Linked DNA regions of Drosophila melanogaster. Changing the gene in region 1 together with any one later gene gives a genetic interaction. Each region holds a gene or a part of one and is shown in the gene's direction. Other genes may lie near its edges. The genes, in order: rut, Lapsyn, Sh and Itpr.

What was found.
Region 2: of rut (region 1) and Lapsyn, changing one suppresses a phenotype caused by changing the other (phenotypic suppression), as found in Drosophila melanogaster (one study listed by BioGRID).
Region 3: of rut (region 1) and Sh, changing one suppresses a phenotype caused by changing the other (phenotypic suppression), as found in Drosophila melanogaster (one study listed by BioGRID).
Region 4: of rut (region 1) and Itpr, changing one enhances a phenotype caused by changing the other (phenotypic enhancement), as found in Drosophila melanogaster (one study listed by BioGRID).

Annotation. Positions count from the first base shown.
Region 1 is NC_004354.4:14,823,064-14,827,784, reverse strand, and holds the start of rut (rutabaga), read left to right. Parts: upstream 1-1,711; 5' UTR 1,712-1,823; intron 1,824-1,879; exon of another isoform or gene 1,880-2,039; intron 2,040-2,857; 5' UTR 2,858-2,996; intron 2,997-4,721. UniProt on the Drosophila melanogaster protein: This is a membrane-bound, calmodulin-sensitive adenylyl cyclase. Inactivation of this cyclase leads to a learning and memory defect.
Region 2 is NT_033778.4:21,191,717-21,199,691, forward strand, and holds Lapsyn (Leucine-rich repeat activity-regulated protein at synapses), read left to right. Parts: upstream 1-1,854; 5' UTR 1,855-2,150; intron 2,151-5,891; 5' UTR 5,892-5,894; coding exon 5,895-6,077; intron 6,078-6,304; coding exon 6,305-6,448; intron 6,449-6,513; coding exon 6,514-6,718; intron 6,719-6,775; coding exon 6,776-6,961; intron 6,962-7,045; coding exon 7,046-7,201; intron 7,202-7,258; coding exon 7,259-7,416; 3' UTR 7,417-7,715; downstream 7,716-7,975. Other genes in the region: tud (tudor), read left to right, coding at 1-410.
Region 3 is NC_004354.4:17,987,627-17,992,675, reverse strand, and holds the start of Sh (shaker), read left to right. Parts: upstream 1-1,996; 5' UTR 1,997-2,342; intron 2,343-5,049.
Region 4 is NT_033777.3:5,515,310-5,520,237, forward strand, and holds the start of Itpr (inositol 1,4,5,-trisphosphate receptor), read left to right. Parts: upstream 1-1,807; 5' UTR 1,808-2,579; intron 2,580-4,928. Other genes in the region: Nmdar1 (NMDA receptor 1), read right to left, coding at 709-831, 903-1,079. UniProt on the Drosophila melanogaster protein: Receptor for inositol 1,4,5-trisphosphate, a second messenger that mediates the release of intracellular calcium. Together with MCU, has a role in oxidative stress-induced ER-mitochondria calcium transfer.

The DNA of each region.
Region 1 (4,721 bases):
GACAGCGAAATACCCTACACTTAGAAAAAAAAATCAACACCAAAACCGCCTCACCATCACACACACACACACACACACACATGAATGCGGTGATGGGAAAAGTCACTTTTAAATGAATAATTGCAATATAGTTCATAGATAATGATCGAAAGTGCCACAAGAAGTATTTAAAGTTTCAAAACTATGCACTATTTTTGAGCATTTTTGTAACGGAATTTTCGAAAGTACCTTTCTTCAATTTAGAAAACTCTTGTTTGGCCGCTGACACAACTTCCCCCATCACTGCACGCATACAAATATGAAAATTATGGCAAAATTTTACTCTATGAGTATTAGGGCATACTTACGATCGATCCAAAAAATCCAATTAGTCAAAAGCGTAGCGTACATATCATTCAAATACAAAAAGACATCAATCCCAGGTGGATCGAAATGGATGCGAGATGATGGATGAGCCAGCAGGAATCTTTTTAAATCCACACCAACGCACTCAGGCACGTGTGGCAAACTATGTTCTAATCCTAAATAAATGATGTGCAATAATTTAGTTTATGTAGTGGCATATACATAATTAAGAAAGTTACATTTTATGCTGTTTACAAAAAGCAAATAACTAAATGCTAGTCAACAAAAACGAAATCAGTTTAATAGTTTTAGTGTGTACGAGCTAAATATTCGGCAAAATGATTTACAAGAAACCCACAAAAATACATAAGAGTGTACAAATAATGGTAAATGTGGTGTGCACTGAAAGAAAACGAGGAGTGCGTTGACAATTCGCACCAAAAGCCGAATCAGCAATATTACTTTATGGAGACATTTGAAATACAAGCGACTTGCAAATTGTCCGCGAATTCTTCGGTTTTCTTCTGTTTGCGCCACTGAGTGTTAAATAATTGCATATATAAATACCTGCATAAAATTATATGAAGTGTATTATACAAAACTGAATGTTTCATTTCGAAAACTGGGCAGTTAGTGAATAAAATGGGGCTGCCATTTTTAATTGGTAACTATAAAGCTTTAGTTTCATTCTTTGTTATAATACGTAAAAAATCAACTTTAAAATTGACTAGTTTGTGTTATGTTATTAAATAATATAGCATTGCCTTTTAACGGTTTTCTATTTTAGAAATTTCATTTGACCACCATTCTTCAGCCTTTTGGTATTTTCTAGTTTAGTATTTCCTACCAAATAAAAAACTTATTCTATGATTATGCCCATTAATTTTTACTCAAATCCCATTTAAAATTTTTGATTAATTGGTGTATATTTTAACTTAATATTAAAAACTATATTCAAAATCAATAAGTAATCTATAATAACACAGTACCTAGAAAACCAGCTGATTGCTGATAATATGTAAGACATGGCGATAGACTTTTGAAAGCTTTTGCATTTCAACTTTTATTCGCCATACAAGTTGCATATAAGTGAACATGTACGCATTAAGATCAGGAACTTTAAAAACCACAACGTTCGATCTCCATCTATCAATTTGAAATTGGTATATATTGTAAATAACGCTGATAATAGGATTTAAAATCACACCAGCTGATATACGATATATCGATTGGGCTATCGCAAGCAGTGGCGCCCCATCTCTACGATAGTGCTTTCGCTGCACGCCGACGAACGCTTCGTGCAACTTCGTGCAGCTTCGTGCCACTCGGTTCGCAGTGGTTCGCTACGAACCGCCGACGGACGCTTTAGTTTGGCTGCAACGCTTTGCTGAGAACAGACCAAATCCGAAGCGAGCGGAGCCGAAGAGAAACCGAACAAACCAAACAAACCAAGCCAAACAATCCGAAGAAATCGCGTCGTGAGTTGTGTGGAAGGAAAAGCGGTTAAATAACGCGGCGATCTTAACTGTTGTTCTTCTTTTTTTTTTTCGGTGCTGGTGTATTTGCACATTCTACTTTTTTTTTCGTTCTATAAAGTGCCACTTTGTGTGTCTCGCTGGTCGTTTGTTTTCTTTTTGTCGTGGGAAATGCGCGCGCGCATTTAAGAAGTGGCAGGAAAACTCCAAACGCAGCTGGTAAAGATTCAAGTTTTCCAAAAAAAAAAAAAAAATAATAATAAAAGAAAACCAACAAGAAAAACCGAAAACCCAAAAAACAACAAAAAACACGAATGCATTGCCAGCAGATGATAAAGAAGGAGAGCAAGAAGAAGAGCGCACCGCGACGCCTTCTGCTGTTGTGGTTGTTGTTGCCGTTCTTGGCCGTGTTTGTTGTTGTCGTTGTTGCCGCTTTTATCTGCATTGTCTTGCGTCTTAACTCGTTTCGCTTTGGCCTTTTCGGCTCTCCTCTCTCCCCGTTTTCCACACTCCCCCACTCTTCTCATCATGCCAATGCGTGTGTGTGTGTGTGTGTGTGTGTGTGCCGTCCATGGATGCGCTTTGCCACTGGCTTTTCCCTCTCTTCTCCACGTTCCTCTGTCTCTTTGCCACACACACGCCTTTTTTCGGCTTACGGCGGCGGCAGCAGCGGCAACAACAACAACAACAAGCTGCCGCAAAAAATCGATAACGGTATTGGCAGCGGCGGCAGCACAAGAAAACGGCAACAACTTCCGCTTCCCCAAAAGTTGCAAAATGTCACCTGCCCCAAGGATTAGATAATCAAAAAGGGCACGCGAAGAGAGAGAGCAAAGAAAAGCAATAACCAAGGGAGAGAGAGAGAGAGAGAGTGTGTGGGAGTGGGCTTAGGCTTGGGCTTGCCACGCCCCCCGCCTTAAAGCGTGGCTGTCACAATTCTTGTTTTAATTAAGAGCCAAACATTCAATTACAACTCGCTTGCTCTCTCACTCGCTCCCTATCGCTGTCTCATTCGCACCCTCTTACTCTCCGCTCAGCCATCTATGCATCTTGGACCTACAACAACAATAATAACAACAACAACAACAAGAGATACAGAACAAGGAGGCAAAAAAGTAACAGAAGAAGAAGAAGCAGCAGCAGTCAACTTGCAACACAATCGTTGTTGCTTTTTGGGTAAGTGTTTTCCTTTGACGAAATTCAGTTTGAGATACTAAGATACTTTTGCATCTCTGAAGTACATATATACGTAGTTATGGATAAGATACACATGAAATCGGGAGAAGGTTGAAACGTTTTTATTCATTTTAATATTTAATACAAATTAGAATATGAGTAAAGTAAATATTATATTTTCTCAATACATGTATATAAAATTTAATATTTTATTGAAAAGAAAGAAAGAAAGAAAGAAAGCAAAAATAGAATGAAAAATATAATCGAAAATCCTATTTAAATAACATGAATATTATTATATATGTAGAACTGAAATTTTATCCAAAAAAGGAAAATAAAATTAATATTAGTACTAACTACTTATAGCGTTTTTCATAAACAATTATTATCTTTAAATTGTTGTTTAACTAGATTCCAGTTGGATATAACACAAATCCGTCAACTTTAACTGCTGATCGTTATTAGCTTACTTTTTATTGTTTCGATAAAAAGTAAGACTTTTAGTTTATGACCAATCATTTTTACGATGATCATACATTTATGGCTATTAATAACAACTACTTAACTGTGTATTTGACTAACTAATGACTTGACTAGATAATTGTAGCTTCTAAGCCAGTTTAAATGGCTTCTATTCATAGATTTTCACTAGGGATTTCGAATTATTTAGCTCATTTATTATCTGAATCATTAGGGCGATGGCTATAAATAATTGCAACCCTTTTAACAAATTGCCTTTAATATTATAGTTTTAAATTGTGTGTGCTGCAGCAGCTGACACATGTGTTTTCTTTTCGCCCCGCCGACTTTTCATATTTGTGTTTGTTGGAATATACTATTCAACCTACAAAAATAACGTTAAACAACACTACTTTATATTTGATATGAATGGCCACACCTTTTATGCCATAAAACATATTGTAAGAGAATACCACTCTTTTTATTCCTTCTTTCCTTCTTGTACGTTTTTTGCTGTGAGTAGGTCGTGGTGCTGGTGTTGCAGTTGAAATAACTTAAAATATAAATCATAAAACTCAAACATAAACTTGACTATTTATTTATTTATTAAGAAAGGAAATATAAATTATAAATTACAACAGGTTATGGGCCCAGTCCATGCCTAATAAACAATTAAATTGTGAATTAAAGATTGTGAAAATAAATTGTGAAATAGCATTTTTTTCACATTCTTGTGAAATAGCTTTTTTTTTCACATTCTTGTGAAATTATTTCCTTCTCAGAATTTGAGTGAAAAATGGACAAGGCTAAACGTAATATTAAGCCGTTTGATGGCGAGAAGTACGCGATTTGGAAATTTAGAATTAGGGCTCTTTTAGCCGAGCAAGATGTGCTTAAAGTAGTTGATGGTTTAATGCCTAACGAGGTAGATGACTCCTGGAAAAAGGCAGAGCGTTGTGCAAAAAGTACAATAATAGAGTACCTAAGCGACTCGTTTTTAAATTTCGCAACAAGCGACATTACGGCGCGTCAGATTCTTGAGAATTTGGACGCCGTTTATGAACGAAAAAGTTTGGCGTCGCAACTGGCGCTGCGAAAACGTTTGCTTTCTCTGAAGCTATCGAGTGAGATGTCACTATTAAGCCATTTTCATATTTTTGACGAACTTATAAGTGAATTGTTGGCAGCTGGTGCAAAAATAGAAGAGATGGATAAAATTTCTCATCTACTGATCACATTGCCTTCGTGTTACGATGGAATTATTAC
Region 2 (7,975 bases), on another chromosome or scaffold:
TGCTCGATGCAGAACAGGACCTACCCGCCTTTAGCGACCTCAAAGAGGGAGCTTTGTGTGTGGCTCAGTTCCCGGAGGACGAGGTCTTCTATCGCGCCCAAATTCGCAAGGTTTTGGATGACGGAAAGTGCGAGGTGCATTTTATTGACTTTGGCAACAATGCCGTGACGCAGCAGTTCCGCCAGCTGCCTGAGGAGTTGGCCAAGCCGGCGCGATACAGCAGGCATTGCGAGCTGGATGCGTCGACCATATCCAAGTGCGACGCGGCCCTGCTCCAGTCGTTCATCGACACTCGCTTCTCTGAAACATTCCAGGTAGAGATTCTGGCCACCAAGGGAACTGGCACCCATGTCGTACGACTCTTCTACCAGAGCAAGAACATCAGCGAGAAGCTTCAGGAATGTCAGTGATCACCCCGTTGTACAGTCAGATCGGACTCATATGTGCTCCATGCAGGAGATTGTGATTGGGTTGGCTAAAAACATGCGATGTATTATCCATTAAGTTGAACGAGTTAAACTTATTCAAAGGGAAGAGGAGGACACCACACGATTAGCCAAGATGCTTCATTGACTTTTCATGGAAAACCAAAATGAAAGCAATTTTTAATATTAATTAAAGAATCAATACGGAATGCAAAACATTATCACCAAAAACACAACAAAACGAAAAAAAATCGAACAAAAAAAAAAACGAAAAATCATTGAAAAAAAATGTATAAAAACAAACGAAAAATATTGAAAAAAACTTTAAAAAAAAATGTAATCTAGATAAAATTGGCACTAACCTATATATGTTAGTAGCTATTAAGGCGGATGACGATTTATTTAATTGCTCAACCTTGTTTAAAACAATTTTACATCATCAACGAAAGTTGGCGAATTGAAGAGAAGTGGAGTGAAGTTTAAACCTCCTCCAGATGAATTATTTATTTTTTCCCTTTATAACTGTATTTGTACTTTCTTTTCTCGATTAACCAACTGAAGAATCACATATGTTTTTCGTACTTTTTTTACTTTTCATTACCTAAACAAACAAGAAACATTGCAAATCGAAGACTTAAGGAAACTAAAAGGAAACTAATGGAATATGGGTTTATGTATTAAAACCTTCAATCACAATGTCATATTTTTCTACTATTTCTTTTTCATGTTGTGAACAATATATTAAAACAAACCAATAAATACGATGAAAAGTAATGCCATATAGAGCGTATATTATTACCTGGTAGTTATACCTGGAGTTCCAGACCCGGTGCCAGGTAGCAATTAGCGGTCGTCAGTCGGGGATTTATTGGATTACGATGTGGAAAAGTGGCGAACGGACGGACAGGGCTCATGTCCGTGCTTGAGGAGATCTACGGGTGCCTGGGAATTTTACCTGTTGATAAGAAGAGAATTAAGTCGTCTGCCCACATTTATGATACGGATCAAGCTCTCATTGCTGACTATCCGCGATATCATTCACATTCATTTAGTTAGTTGCGATATCATTCATACGCGTTTACAACTGTATTGTCAGCTGGCGTGGATGCTTCATTAGATGCCTCTGTATCAATTTCGATTATCAATCGCTTGCTAATTGAATGAGTGGCCGGCCAAATCAGAAATATCCACATTTGAACTGTCAAAATCCCGAAAACAATTCAATTTCCAGTCGCAGAGTGTATCAGTTTCCATTGCTGTTATCAAAGAGAGCGCTTCTCTCTCCACTCCGAATTTTCCATCCGAATTTTCACAGTGCAGTGCAGTGTCATCTGGGAGCGTGCGTCCGCTTTATCAGCATTTTTCGGTGTGCTTTGCTCGGGCGATCGGATTGTCGGAGTCCGAAAGGCCAAAAACTGAAACGATCGTTTCAATTCTGTGTCTGCGGTTGAATTGAACGGTTCCGGCCAACGTGCGCGCTCCGTAACGATTGCTATAACATTCTACGGCGTAATCATAACTAAAAAATATTGATAATATAACATATAAAGCTGTTTGAATATTACATATATATAAAATATATAAAGATCACAGAAAATCGAAGAATCCTAGAAGAGCATAGAGTGATGTGTGTGTAGTGAACTAACAAGAATCCTGCCATTTTACTAGGATTATCATCGCCGACTTTAAATGGGATTATACCTGAACACTTGAATTTCCCCAGCGGTAAGCGGACGGAAAAATCTGTTTGGATTTTTTTTGATTTTTTTTTGTTGATTATTTTGCTTTCTTGATGGTAGTATTATGGGGTCTGGCGGGTTATCGTGAATGGTGCACATAGTACTACGACTAGATTGCACAACAGCTGTGTAAGCTATATTGAATTTTCTAATCAGGAAACTTAGCATTGAAATGTGCGCCAGTCTCTGGATTCTATATGCTCTATATGCAACCAAAAGAGTCTCCACGACAGCATAATGCGATAGAATCCAAGTTAAATTGATTTCAATTAGCGGAGGCAGCACAACGGCAATTGTGAGCCTTTCTCTGTGTGTGTAGCACACATATCTTGCAGATAAAATAAAAGTTTCACTATATACTATATACTACTTGCTGTGTGTATCTACTAAAAGTAACGCTTCAGCAGGGCTGTTTATTCAGTAATTAACTGTGGTAAAAACACGTAGGGAACACCTGCTTATCAAGGCGCAGACTAATCTTTACAGCCAGTGTGTTCTGGAAAAGTAATCAAAGCCTCGAGAATAGGGAAACGTTCTCAACAAAGAAAAGTTATACAAAATGTCATATTCTTAAATAATAAACACATGATCGAAATATGATATTTTCGACTGGCATTCCGATAAAGTAGAGTAGTCACTGTATTTGGATACTTTTGTTTTTTTTTTTTTTTGTTTTTTTCAGTCCCTGGGCAAATGTTTTCTTGATTGTGTTTAATTGAAATAAATGAACAACGCTCTTTTATGCTACACCAATCTTTACGGGGCCGTTTCAATTAATTTTTTTTTTTATTGTTCTTGGCATCGCCGTTATAATTTTGAAAGAAGCTATCAGCAGAATGGGGACTTACACGATAAGAGCACTTGACGTACTCTGATAAGCTTCGGTTTTTTTTGAGGAAAATATGATTGTTACCCAATGGCATTTCTGGGAGGTGGGTGGTAATGAGAAGGTAGCCCAGATGGGAAGGTTGTCTCAAAGCAATGTTTCATCAGTGCATCAGAGAGAGAGAGAGAGAGAAGAGTCCAAACAAATAAATCTTTATCGTAGCAACGAGAAATGTGAATAAATCTCGGGGCCCTCCGGTGCACACACACACACACGCACACCTGTTGGGGGTCGGCCAGGGAGGGGGTGGAGCTGAAAGATATATATGCCGATCGGACGGGGTATAGCCGATAATATATGCCTACTTCTGCGACGCCCACAATGTGTGACAGGAACTATCACAAGAGCACATAAATCCATTCACAAATGTTTAGAATGTTATTAAAATATTTGATACTAATTTCGTGTTTTTTTTTTATCTTCCGATTTTTTTTTTTTGTGGTGGGGGATTTTCGATTTCATGTTGCGTTTTGTTAGTCCAATAATCGCTTGGCTCGGCGAACAGATAAATAATCCCTCCTCGTCATATTTATCATATCGGGCAGGCTGCAATCCGTTGGTCGACAGTCGGATACGGGCAGCTGGGTGAATGAATCGCTAGCGCCTTGGACCATTCCGATCCGTAACCCATTTCTGCCACCCCATTCGCCTTTCCATGGCATTGTTTGTCTGGTCTGCCGCCTGATTGGGTATAATATATAAATAAATATTGAAGCTGAACAAATGCGGCGAAAGTGAAAAACATAAATTGTGACCCCAACCAATAATTCCAACTCGCAAAGAACTAATATCTAAGGCTAATTCGGATTCACCATTTGATTTGCGGGACGGGATCACTTTTATGGCCATAGCCGCCAAGTGGATCTACCATTTGGTGCCTGGCATTAGCCCTTTTTATGGCCAATTTCCTTGAATTCCCAGCCCCCTAACAAAAGTTGTATAATAAAGTCAGTCAGCTGGGGGATGCGATGCAATCTCCTCAAATCCAAAAGTTTGCATTTGGTCGCCACTGTTTATGCTGCCATCTCATTCTGGCCACTGTTTTGGGCTTTTCTGGTTAATTTTAATTTAAATATATGAAATATATTTATAGCCATTGTTGCGGTTGCTGTCAGTCCAAGAGAATGTGTGTGGAAATCGCTTCAATATTTCTTTTGATATTTTCTGCTTCGTTTTTTCGCTGATTCGACAGGCGGCTCTAATGACAGAGGTAGCCGCACCACACTGGGTGGCAAAAGTGTGCGCCACGCTTCCGCTAGTGGAGCAAACATATTGGCAGAAACTGTTTTTCATTTTCTATGTTTTCATTTCGTGAGCACATGCCTCTCAAGTGGAGCGCAACATTTTTTGGTCAAAGGCCAAGACACTTCAGCTAGCTGGAAAATAGGCAAAAATTAATAAATGGTCGAATCATGATGTCTAAATGGGGACCATGAATCACTTAAATTTTTCCAAGCCAACGCAGCTAGTATGAGCAACGACGAATGGTTACTAACTTTATAATTGATTAGCACTCTTTTGTTGCCTTTGCAAGAGGCCAAGATCTTATCGGCCAACTGGGCGCTCCATATGTCTTAATTCCGCCACTTGGACGGGCTCAAAGTGATTTGCCAATATGGATGGATATCTACGACGTCGTTCATCATTCATTGGTAAGCAAGCGTTTGAGCTTCGTGTAAATAGAACTATCCACTTTTGCTGACCCGCAATTGATTTCACGGGAATTTCAGCTTCGTTGGGCGAAATGATGAAAACTTCAGCTGCGACAGCAATTAGCCCGAATGTCACAAATGGAAAATTACAATACTCAAGACATTACTCATGTTGTTCGGTTTTCATTTTCACATTTTTCACAATGCAAAATCACGCAAAGCCAGCTGATACAAAGTTGGGAAACGTGCAATTTTCTAATTGCCCTTCAATGGGGCGTAACAGAGACATTAACAATGGATTCTGGCCATTTCCAATTCCCAAATGTGCATACCGAGTGGGCTTACATGTTTAGATCATGTCTAGATATATGTACTTATCCTGAGGTATAAATCACGTCGAAGCATTCCTATTTCTGGCCCATAATCGATTATTGGCTTTCATTTTCACCAAAAACACTTATATTGCTTTTGGCAAATTTCGGGAAATGCTTTTGTGAATCTGACATATTGAAAAGAGCCATAAAGGCATTTTAATGGAATATTTGTTTGATTTATGGCTACCCCTTTTGCTGTTTGATGTAGAATCAAAAGATTTACACGCCGCACGATAAGATATTGGAGCAATGGCAAGTGCTTCCCAAAATGGCAGTGAGTCAGTTATTTTTCGGGCTAGTTGCTTTTATTACTATTATAGGGCCGCCAAATGTTTCCGCCGCCGCAATGCGGAATCATCTTTTGTTGATGTGCATGAATGCAGCGGGAATGACACTGATTGTGTGTTACGTATACGTAATATGAATATCGCGTATACGCAGGCCAACAGCAGCTGACCTAGGCTTCGAATTTGAGCTCAGTTTGTATCTGTATCTGTATCTGAGCTGCCATGGTTTAATTCCATCTGTCAGGTGCGGTAGATCCGCTTGATTGAATGCATTCAGCTTTGGATGCGAGTCCGCATTCACCCCCAAAAACCAATCAAAACCCAGACCCAGACCCCCAGCGATCGGCAATGATCTTGTAAATTGTTAATTCGAAAATAAACGCTTTGACGAGCCCATGGGCGATTGTTTGCTTAAATTTATTGTTCTAGTTTTAATCAAGAATATAAACAAGTTAGCGCCGAAATGAAGTCCCATCGTTTGGATTTACATTTTCATCTATATGTATATATGTTAATTTATTTTGGCAGAGCATGGAACTGCATTGGCAGCTGCTGACGTTCATCGTGTGCCTCCAGTTGTTGCATTCCGCCGGATTCATCATTCAGTCGGAAGTGCGCAAGTGCACGTACGGCCATATCGATAAGCTGCTCCGGATTCGTTGCTACGACTTGGACCTCAAGGAGGTGCCACAGAACCTCAAGAGTTCGGTGGAGGTGAGTAACGATCGAGGGGTCAGGCGATCAGACTTGGTCATTGCTGGGCCCCTCGTCACAGTTAGCCTCAATTGAGCTTAATTAAAGAATAAAGAAGTTGCCCACAAACATAAATTTATCCATTACACCGACATGCATAGTCGATGTGTATGGGAACCCTACCCATGCCATTCAAAACTCTCTACTGAAATTAAATGATCTGACAATTCGCTGAATGTTTTTTGCAGGTTCTGGATCTATCGCACAATCGCATCAGGAAGCTGAAAACTAGCTCGTTTCAGCGATACACGGACATTAAGTTTCTGATGCTCTATGATAACATGATCTTATCGGTGGAGGTGGGAACCTTCGAGCCACTCACCTCGCTCCAGGTAACAACGACATCCAATTAATCAACGAGTGTGTCTTTAATTAATTTCTTAATCGAAATTCCCAGGAAATTGATCTTTCGAATAATGGACTGACAACGATACCGCTGGAGTTGTTCCAGCTGCCGCGACTGAGAAACCTATACATCGATAGCAATGAGCTAACATCCCTCAATCTTCAGGCACTGGAGAAGCCCATTCGTGCTCCACTGGAGTACCTGAACGTGGCAGGTTGCGAGCTACAGGAGTTACCCGATCTGGGCATACTTCCAAGTAAGCAGAGATATGTAGATATATGGAATCTATCTAATATTGAACGATTCTCTTCAGAACTCTGGCAACTGAATGCCTCGATGAATCCGCTGCAGAACTTCAGGATCGACAGCCTGGCGAATATGTGCCACCTGCAGGTCATCGATCTGACCAAGTCGCAGTTGAGCCAGTGTGGCTGCCAGCAGGTCACCAACCATCTTATGATGCTCGGCGCCAGTCCGAAGTTCGTGCCAGTTTGCTTGGGTAAGTAGTGATGGCGATGATGGCGCTGCAGTCGGAGCAGCTGCTTATTTTTGGCACATGACCAACTTGCAATTCCATTTTCAGAGGCGCTCGACATCCGCGAGTGTCCACTGCCCTACAATCGAACGATCCATTCGCCAACATTCGCCAGTTGCCAGACGACACTGCAGTTTGCCGAAACGCGCAGCTTCTGGCTCTTTGGAGCTGGCTGCTTTGGCGGAGTTTGTTTTGTGCTTTTAAGTGAGTTACGAATTAGTTCTATTCGACATAAGTAAATACATTTCCCACCTCCCACAGTTGTCATCTTCTGCGTGATACACTGTAGGAGAAAACGAGCCCAGCGACGAAAGAGGAATGCCCAGAAGCGAAAGCCGTTTGTGATCTCGCCCAGAAACGCCATCAACAACCGTCAGCCGGAGGACGAGCCTCTGCACTGTGATATTGCCCGAAAATAGCACTTTAGTTAGTTAATTAGTTGCTTAGTTAGTTAGTTAGTCTTAGGTGCCAGTTATTTATTACCTACCATTTATGCGTTAGTTTAGCCTTAGGACAACCGTCTACCTAGCAAACTGCCTTGAATCCTTTACCAAAAATCACACAAAATCACCAAAAACCAAAAACAGCGCCATCAAAGAATATTGCCTTGCTCAAAAGCCATCGCTTATTTATTTGGTTTAATACGTAACATAGATTTAAGCCAGCAATGGAGTGGATTTTTTATAACGAATGACAATAAAACGTTGATTTAAAGAAGAAGTCTGTATTGAGTTTGTATTTAGACTTGGATATTTAGTTTCTTAACAACATTATGTATTTTTATGAATAAGGAAAAATATTAGAGATATACATTATTTGAATATATCGTTATTTATTTATTTTAGTTTAACTTAAAAATTGTCCTAAATCAATTTAAAGTGCATCAGCCTGAAAGTAGGCAAGCTATTTTGCAACCGACTTGGTGGTGAAGCCTTTTCATCACGGCCAACAAGTATGCAATGGTTTTACAGGCTTAGA
Region 3 (5,049 bases), 3.2 Mb from region 1:
TTAAGTCATTAAATAGCAAATGAAAACATGAGGTGAAATGTCATTTAACATTAAAAATCTAATTTTCTGAACTGAAGAATTATAAGTACTGCAGCGACTCTTAGAAGATTGCTCAAAGAGGCTAAAGTATCCAAAATGTTGACAATAAATCCCAATCATTCAAAACCTATAGAGTTTAAGAAACTAGTAAGTGCAACTGTTAGAACTAAATGAGCTTTTATTTTTAAACCCAAAAGACGTTCTTATTTTAGTTTATTAGAAAGATTATAACATTTTCTGGATAACTTCGTCTCATTAAAAAAAAATATTTCAATAATATTAGCTTTTCTCCCTTCAATAAATTGTAAAATGCTATTTGGTAAAAACTATTAAATTATAGTTAAAATTTCACAAACGGTTGTATTTTACAACCTAACCAACTTATTCTCCAAATGCTTTTGTGTGGCTATAAAAGGTTTGCGTTCCGATAAATTTTCGTCCAATAATTTTTCAACGCAAAACCTGCATTAGCAAGGACACCAAAGCTTAAAGCTTTTCTGATTTTTTGAAAATTGAAGAGCTTAAAAGCTTGACTAAAACACAATTTCTGATTTGAAGAAAACTTTCTGATAGCTTTTAAGCTGGGAAAACAAATAGCTACGTCAACTTTGTTGAAGCAGAAGCCAGAGCTTTAAGCTGCGCTTTATCCAGCTTTCCGTGGCCCTTTTCTCTCGCTTTCCCTTATGTTTTCCTTTCCGAACTTTCCCATGCTTTGTTTGGGCGCGCGTTTGTGTGCGTGAATGTGCCATGTGTTTATTTATTAATAATTGCATTACTCATACGCCACGCCGTCCCTCGCTGGAAGCATGGCGTTCAAGTGCACACGTGACACTTATATGCGTGTGTCTGTGTATTACTTGGGAGCCTTTACATGGCCATGTGTGTGCGTCCGTATGTGTGTGAGTGTGCAGTTATTCGCATTATTATAATCAAGTGGAGCCAACAAAAGGGAAGCGAAGGAATAGGCTTCGGAAGGGGGGAGCATAACGAGCCCGGCGGCGTTTTAAAGCACACATTAATAATAGAGGAGCACACCTTTGCCACCAAAGGGTGGTGGTGATGCGGTGGCGAGTTGGAGGGCATGGGGTTGTGGCTTTTGTCGTTTCTCCTTCGATTCGATTTTCTCTTGCTCCCGTGTGCATGTGAGTGTTAGTGTATGTTTGTGTTTGGTTCATTTACAGTTTTCACCTAGTTTTCGTGTTTCGGTTGTTTTGCCTTCGGCCGCCGCCTCAGCGGCCCCTAGCGGCATTTGCTTTGTTTGACACCGCCACTCATCCCCGCCGACGGGCCCCCATTTCCAGTCCAGCCAGGAGCTAGAGCTCCATCTCCAGCGGACGGTGCCCGAGTGTCGCCAGAGTCGCCAGTGTCGCCAATGTCCCTGTGCCCATGGTTCCCGCTCTTCTTGCTCAGCCATGTTCACCCAGGCTACTCTTTGGCTTTGTTGTTGCGGCTCTGCTTTGTTGTTGGTTTTCATTTTATTCATTTCGTTTCTTTTTTTTTTTTTGGTTTTGTGTTTTTTGGGCCTCCTCTGGTCGCCGTGTTCGTGCCAAGTGGCACTAAAACTATTTGCCTTTTGCCCAGTTTTCGTATGCCTTTGGCCAGCGGGAACAGGAGCGGTACCTGCCACACAGCACAGTACAGAACATCGCACATCACACATAGCACACACTCGGCACACACAGAACACAGCACGCAACACGCAAGAGGCGCCATCGGAGTCGGAGTGCAGCAGTGGAAAACTCCGTATAGCTTTAGATATATAGCTATACGATCCAGTCCGCTGACAAAGCCGGAGCCAATGCAGCAAAGCAAATCGCACGTGCTCGCCTCGGCCCAAAATGTTCGTGGCGAGTTCGTGGCGCCCAACGTGGGGCGTTCGTGCCACCGCATTTGGCTCGGCTCGTAGTTCGGCGGTTCTTCTATCGCCGGACACTTTTGCAGCGCCTCAGTTCGGTTCAGTCGTCGCAGTCGCAGTCACGTCGTCACAACGTAATCGTGCAACGCGTTCCGCGCTTGGCGGCGACTGTCGTCAGTCAGTCAATCAATCAGTCAGTCAGTCAGTCAGTCCGTCAGTCAGTCGGTCAGTCAGTTAGTCAGCCAGCTAGTCAGTTAGCTAGTCATTCATTCAGTCAGTCAATCAGTCAGTGTGTCAATCTGACAATTGGAGTTTCTATCCAGACTTCAATATTTTTTTACCTCGCTCAAAACCCCCCACTCGCACTTTAAATAATAAAAAAAAGCAGGTGGTGCGTGCCGCGTAGCCGCGCGTGATTCTTGTTGTTGTTTTTTTTTTTTCGGTGAATGTGAGTGTATGGTTCTCTTTTTTTAAATGGTAACTCTTGTTGTTATTGTTATTCCGAGCTTGGTGCGTGCCGCAAAATTCGAAACACAAGGAGAAACTCCATTTAAAAAAGGCGTTTAAAACAGCTTAAGAAGCCATTTAAGCACCCTTCCACGCGCCACAGAAAAGGGATGAGAAGAGAAAAATACACCAGGACATGATCAGAGGCTCCAGGGGAATCCTGGAGTCCCTCCAACTGTATCGCCCTATCTCCGACTGTTTCTGTGTTTGTTTACCTTAATTAATGCACTGGCAAGCGGCAAATGGACCTGGACACTGCCAACATAATTTGCCTAGGGGGCGCCACTCGAATCTACACTGCTGCAGCCTCCGGTGGAATGATGATTCTGATGGTAGTGGTGGTGGTAGGGGATTGTCCACGCCAACTTAGCCCACTGCAGGTCGAGTTAATTAATATTTCACTCTAGTTAAGGGGGAGAAAGTGGAAAATGGTAGGGATTGGTCGGGTGAAGTAGGTTGAAGTAGGGGTAAGAGGCACCAGTGAAGTTTTGCTTATATAAGCAACTTCAATTCCTATTGCCTTGTGCCATTTCCATTCCCATTCCCATTCCCACTCCCATTGCCATTTCCATTTCAGTGCAATTCGAGTGGCCCAAAAGAGCCAGAAGGAGCAAAAGCTGTAGCAGTAGCCTAAAGAGAAACTGGCAAATTGCTCATACGACGCATTGGCGCCGTCAAAAACTGAACGAGCCACAAAAGCGGAATGAGGAGTGGAATGAGCAGCCGAAGCTGAAAGAAAAACAAGTTGACCCAATTTACAATTGTAAATCAAACTTAAAATCACAGCCAAAGTTAAACAAAAATAGAATGGTGGTCAGTAGCAAGAAGGGCAGGCATGTTTAATTTACAATAAGACAGCCTCAAGGATCGAATTCAGAGATCAATTGAATGCCTCGAAATTAAACTGGGCAGTGGCCTTAATATTTGACCACAAATGAAGGCAACGTATAAATTTTGTATGTCAAAAACAAAAACCCAGAAACAGGAACTGCATTGATTGGATTAATGGCTTATGTTTCGTTGCTTCGACCGTTTTCTTTCCATTGTCATAGAGAGCATATATAAATAATAAATACACGGGCTTGCAACACAATTGTGGGTGAAAGCAGGCTTTTCCAGCAATTCGAGCACCTCAGTATGCAGTGAAAACTAAACAGATGAACGCAAACATTGGAGTAATTATGTTGGGGATTTTGAAATGCATTCATTTTGTGGTTTCATCTTTCAGCAGAGATGAGAGGTTTACCATAACTTTGCCATCCGTATTGTTTGGCAAGTCACTTGGATATCTAGGAAAACTTTGGGCCTTCCGCCCTTCGCTTTCCACCAACCACCCAGTTTTCCCATACAAATTAGTTTGGATTTGGATTCTCGCTCTGTTCATTAATTTGTCTAAGAGCAGCTGAGGTTTTTCCCCGTATTACAACTTGAGCACTTGGGCATGTGAGGTTATTATTCAGCCTCGTCTTTGTATTTTTGTTTAAGCTTCTTTTGTTTTCGCTCCTCCTATTGTTTTCCTCTCTATGTTCCCCGCTTTTTTTACGCCTCATGTTCTCATTGTATTTGCGATTAAATTCAAGTTTGACTCGCACACGCCAAAATTAATTGGGCACTTGAAAAGTTGAACAAGTCGATCGAAAGGGGGGCGAATGGTTGCAGGGGCTAGATGTGCCGTGACGGCTCGACAGCTCAGCCTTCTGTTAACCCTTATCCACTCAGTGGAAAGTGGCAAGGGGAAGGAGAATGGGTGGGAAACCCCTTTGTAATGTTCTAGGCAACTGATTTATTTTGATTGAACTTTGCATGCAAGCAGCTGAGGCAACAGGAAGAACTCCTGAGCTTTCGAGCAACAACTGGCAAGTGAAACATCATAAAACAAAGCCAGTTTGTGGTTGAATACGAATACGAGCACAGCCGCAGGCTTGGTCTTGTTGATGGGTTGGGGGGGGGGGTCTGGTTTTATGGGGGGGTTACTACTAGATTGAGGGGATCGGAGGCCATTCGCACGCACATTGCCTGGTTTTTAGGCGGCAAGGCTTAGGCTTAGCTCCAGCTCAATCGTAAATGCGTCGAGTGTGGTTCGTTCTTCTCCGCACTCTTAACCCCTTTGTGCCAAAGCTGCTCGCCAGTGTGCCAGTGTGTCTGTGTGCGTGTGTGTGTGCAGGCTAAGTGGTTATGGCAACAACAGCGCTAATAAATCCCCTCTGCACACGCCTCTGGTGCTCGCTAAGCTCTCCTAATGCCACTGAGGCAACTCGGCTTTGTCTTTCGAGTTGAATTTGCCCAGTATATGGCGCATATATCGAGTGCCTTTAAAGTGGTCGTCTGTCTTCGCAAAAACATCAGCAGCTTCCCTGATTGAATGGTGGCGAATTTTTATTCTTGCCACAACTCGATATATCTGCCAACTGTTTTGCTCCATTTTGTCTTTCCTGCCACGCTTGGCCATTTAGTTTTGGCCCAATTGCTAACTTACATATGTATATATTTATGCGCATATGTTTGCGGTCGGGCATGAACACACACACTACAAGAAAATTTGGCCACCAAAAATATGCACAGAGTCGTATTTTATATATGCTATATACTTGGTGACTTTATGCCTCATATATATATATATATGTATGTAGTATATGTCTTCCGCAACT
Region 4 (4,928 bases), on another chromosome or scaffold:
TCAGCTTTAAGTGACGAAGTCTCACACTGAAAGGTGCATTGCACTTTAAGTGCCGAAGTGCTCTTCGTCATTAGGATTTTATGGACACCTTTTTGTGCATAACAGCGATAATTTATTGCACAAGAATCCAGTTTTGTGATTTCCTTCATTGTACATGAGTACAGTGCGATGAAATCACTTATTTCATTTGAATGGTTCTTTACATTTGTACCCAGTTTGTAATATTATATATTTTTATTTAGAATAAGTGACAAATAAGTACCGATAATACTTTAATGTTGCCAAATAGTAGACAATATTGTAAATCACTTAGCTCAACTAAAGACCATCAATAATTAAAAAGATAATTATGATTATAAATCTTAGCTTTCTAATAACCAAACCCCTACAAACTCCTTCTATATATCATTCTGCAAACCTGGTTCATAACAACAAAACGCATTTAAAGTAATATTGTATAATTATAGTTCAATTTGCACATTTAAGCACTCTTTCGCTCTAAGAGCTCCAGTTGGTTAGCTCATGGATATTGGATTCTGCTGGCGCATTACCGCTTGTCATCATCCCATTTCCGAATCATTTCCCCTTAAATTATGGAAATGAATCGAACCAGGTCGGGTTAAACACAGATACGAGTATGTGAGCAGCTTCAAGCGATGGAGGAATGGTCGGAAATGAGCAGGTAATTGCATTTGGCCACCGACTTACCCGATTCTCGATGAGCTTGTCGCACACATTGAAGACCGTCTTGATGGGATTCTTGTCCATGCGGATGGTTTTGTCGTAGTAGGTGACCTTCCGCGGCACATACTGCTGATCGAAGTTGAGGTGCTGCGGTTGGATGGGAAAGCGTGATTATCGCATTCGGATTAGTGGAGCATCCAGTTAGTCAATGGGCTTGCCTTTATTGTGGTGCTAAAGTGCTCCTCGCTGTCGGAATTGCTCAGTACGCCGCCAATGTTGTACGTCGAGGGATTATCCGAGGCAGTGTGCCTCTGGGCGGCATCAATTGGCGCCACCAGGAGAACAATGGCGAGCCCAAACAATGGCCGGCAAAAAACAAACTCAGCCATAGCCATGATGCGGAAGTCTATAGTTTCTGGGGGAGGATAAACGAGGTGTTTTGTGCAACGATTTCAATGGTTTCTCGAGCAAACATCCAGCATTTTCTGCAAGTCGAAAAGGGGAGATGCCGCATATTAATGGCATTTTCCATTTCCCATTGCAGCAATGAGAATGGTCAAAGACAAGATTTCTTAAAGTTTATTTTGCTCATTTTTGAAAAAGCAGAACTTTGAATTCGCGGTGTTTTCTTACATATGTGGTAATGCCAGATCGCGAAAAAATGAATACCAACGCAAGATCGTTAGAGTGACCATTTCATTGTGTTAATAGGCATTAGAAGCAAAATCTAAGTATGTGAGTCGATGAGTGGAAAGATTTTAATCCTCGGCCAATCTATCAACATTGATCTGGAATTTTCAAGCACAGATGACTAAAAAACTATGAATATTTGAATAAGATTCAAATCTCTACCCTGTGCTGCCATGCTAACTAGTATTTAGAGTATGTTAGTATTTTATCCATGCGCTCCCATCTAATTTATCATATGGTTGGTTCTGCGGTTTTCAAACACTTGCTTATGTCATTCCTTGTCAATAGTAAATGCAATTAACGTGTTACTGTCAATAATTCTATATATGTGTGCATAAAACAGTTAAGATGTCAATTACACCATTTATTAACGGCTAACTAGTATTTTTCGCGCGGTCACACTAATCGATCATATGGTTCGACGGTTTTTAAACACTTGTTGCTCGACCGCGCTTTCAGTCGGACGTGTTTTCGCTGGGGTTTTCCGCGTCGGTCCGCCTTATCTGCGCTGCGCTGGCACTTCGTTGGAGTGAGGGAGACGGAGGAGCTGAGCGGTACGGTACACGAAGTCGCGCATGACGCGGCGCTCTGGAAAATTGCATTTTCATACGCCTTGAGCGCGTAATTTATGCCCGAAATGCTGGCCAATTTCAATTTGTTGGCCTAAACGCGACGTGCGTGTGTGGGTGTGTGTGCGTGATTGGGAAAAGTGCGTAGAAATCGACAATCGTTTTGTTTGCCCGCGCTGCTGCTGCGCTGCGACTGCGCTGCTTGTGGGTGGTCAACGGGATCGTGGGGTCGGGAGAGCCGATTGTTGACGTTGTATCGCATGCTGCCTCTCTTTCCCGCAGCCGGAATTGTTTGTCGCGTGTTTTAACGGTTATTTCTTATTGACAAAACCTCCTCTGCCGACGTCGCTGCCCCGGCATTGTTATTGTTATTGTGTGTGGTTTCTGGGCCTTCTTCTTCCTCCTCACCGTATTCCCACTTATTGTTATTCTCTCTTTTCCGCGGCTAAGTGCGGCCCACTCAAGGTGAAAATATATTAAGTTCTTTCGAGTGCCCGCGAGTGTTTGCATTTGAATAAAATAAATATAAAGTCAAATTCGATTTACGATCGTCGTCTATCGACGGATGATTCAATACCAATCACAATACAGTAGCACATCTCTACAAGGGATATTTTACATTACATACATTCTACGGTGAGTATCCCACGACAACGACAACGACAACCTGTTGCCAATCGAGCCCAGTTACTGGTTTTTCTGGTTTCCCGAAGGGCTTGCCACCAATTTAAGTAGGTCATAAGGCAATAAGCCTATCACGACCGAACCGATAGGCTAATTACCGCGATAGCTATTATCTAGCAGTCACGCCCTCGCCTTTTGATCCCACTTGATTTTGATTTCGTTCTTGCCTCTTGCTTTCGCTCAATAATTGACAATAAGCCAAAGCGAAAGGGCCAGAAATGCGCTGAGATTCAATTACGTTGCAGTGGCCACTATTTGTTGCTTACACGAATAGAAAAGCTAAGGAAAAAACATATAAATCCCACTGATTGAAGACATTTGCTTATCGGGGGTATGGTTCTATGCCAGCTACTCAAACAAAATATAAATAAATCCTTAGGGAATCAACTCCGAAGTCAAGTGTTGATTTCAACTCAAGCCACTATGTATATGAACGTGATGCTTTCCAAAATTGTTTTGTGGTGAGAGGGATTGTTTGTTGTTATACAAAAATTCTTCAAATGGGAGTGTTTAAGAATTATAATGACGAAGTAACATAGTCATAATTAAAACTCGTATTTACTCGTAGAGTGAAAGGGTATACCGGATACATATATTATTGATCAGATCGAGATTTCGGGATCTATAAAATCTAGATGTGCAAGTTTAATTCACAACGTCCGCGCCCACTCTAACGCCCACAAACCGTTCAAAACAGTCACGCCCACAGTTTCGAGAAAAGTTTGGATTTTTTTAATCCTAATATTTCTTTGTCAGTTCCTAAAGTTATGCAAATCACTTTTGGAAATTTCTCACTTGACGTCCTCTGAACTGAATGCATCTGCGTTCGAGAAAATCAACTTAGCGCCGATATTTTCTCTCAGTGCACACATCTTGATTGCAGACAGCGGAAAAGAGAGAGAGAGCGAAAGGGAGAGAGAGAAAGAGAGATGCTGACTGGGCGACGCGTGCTTAATTAAGCGCCACATTGTTGTTGGTGTTGACTGGGCAGGTGGCGAGCTATAGAGTAAGAGGCAAGATGAGGGATACCAAAAAAGATGGGGGAGGGGGATGAAAAGTGGACGTGTTGAGCCTGCTGCACGCGATGATTTCCATTACCTGGGGTAAAAAAATGGCTTTTCATCGCCAAATTCCTCTCTGGCCAAGTTTTTTTGTTGCGATTGAAAGAGCGCACTTCACTACTTCTTGATTTGCATGTAATCATGATTGGGTTAATGGGCCTATGATCACACAATTACGATCAATTATATTCACATTATAATGTCGAACAAATTACTAAATTATACAATCAATGGGACCAATAGATAGTATGTGCAGTGAGTTTCATTTATTGAAGATAACCAGTCAATTGAGATGTCATTTGCGGGTACTTTGATCAACCGGCTAGAAAATGTACATATATATTCTAATTTTTAAACGCTAGTTCGGTATAGTATTAAAATTTTTTTGATTATTATGTTTTTGTGCAATTATATATGTATATTTAAAAAAAAAAGTTGGAACTTGACAACTATTTTCTCTTTAACCACGATTCAGATGTCATCAATTTTAATATAAAGAGTTAAAAAATTCACAATTTGTTTTTGTTATTCTCTCAGAATCCCTCAACTGTAGTTGATAATTCTCCAAAAGTTGTCGTATAATTGCATTTGACATACTGATAACGTTTGTGCATGATTTTTAATCAATAAATTTTACCAACCAGCCAAATTTGTTCAGTTTTGCCACTTGTCACCATTTAAACAAACTGACCACAAAGATATTACATTAAATAAATAAAACACATTGAAGATTCTCAGGTATGCTTATTTTTTTGACCACAATCGTGTGTTTGCTCCAATTTATGTGGGCTTGCCATGAGCATGTGCATAATTCGAAGCTGAATTGAGCAGCTGGTGGGGATTTTGTGGAAGGGGGGGCGGTAAAGTGGCCGGGGTTGGCGCCTGGGAGCGCCAGCAATTAACATAAACAGGCAAATTGTGTAAGCGACATTCTGGAGCTGCAAATAAAATATAAGCGCCCGCCCCCCGCCCATCCGATGTGCACAGCCCACTTGGCTGCAATTATTAAGGGTGTGTGTGTGTTTGTTCGGATGCGGAGGTCGGGTGTTATCAATGAAGCAGACTGGATGAGAAGCAAAGTGTTCTCATCAGCGCCAGTCTGGTGTGATTGTGTGAGTATCTGTGTGCTTCACGTTTTTTCTGCTCAGGTGGGCCGAGGTCTCTTGGCTTTTCAATTGCTTTGAGCCACCAGACAGGGCCCAGACTTTTAATGAATGGCCAAATTGTTGAAAGGCGCGCT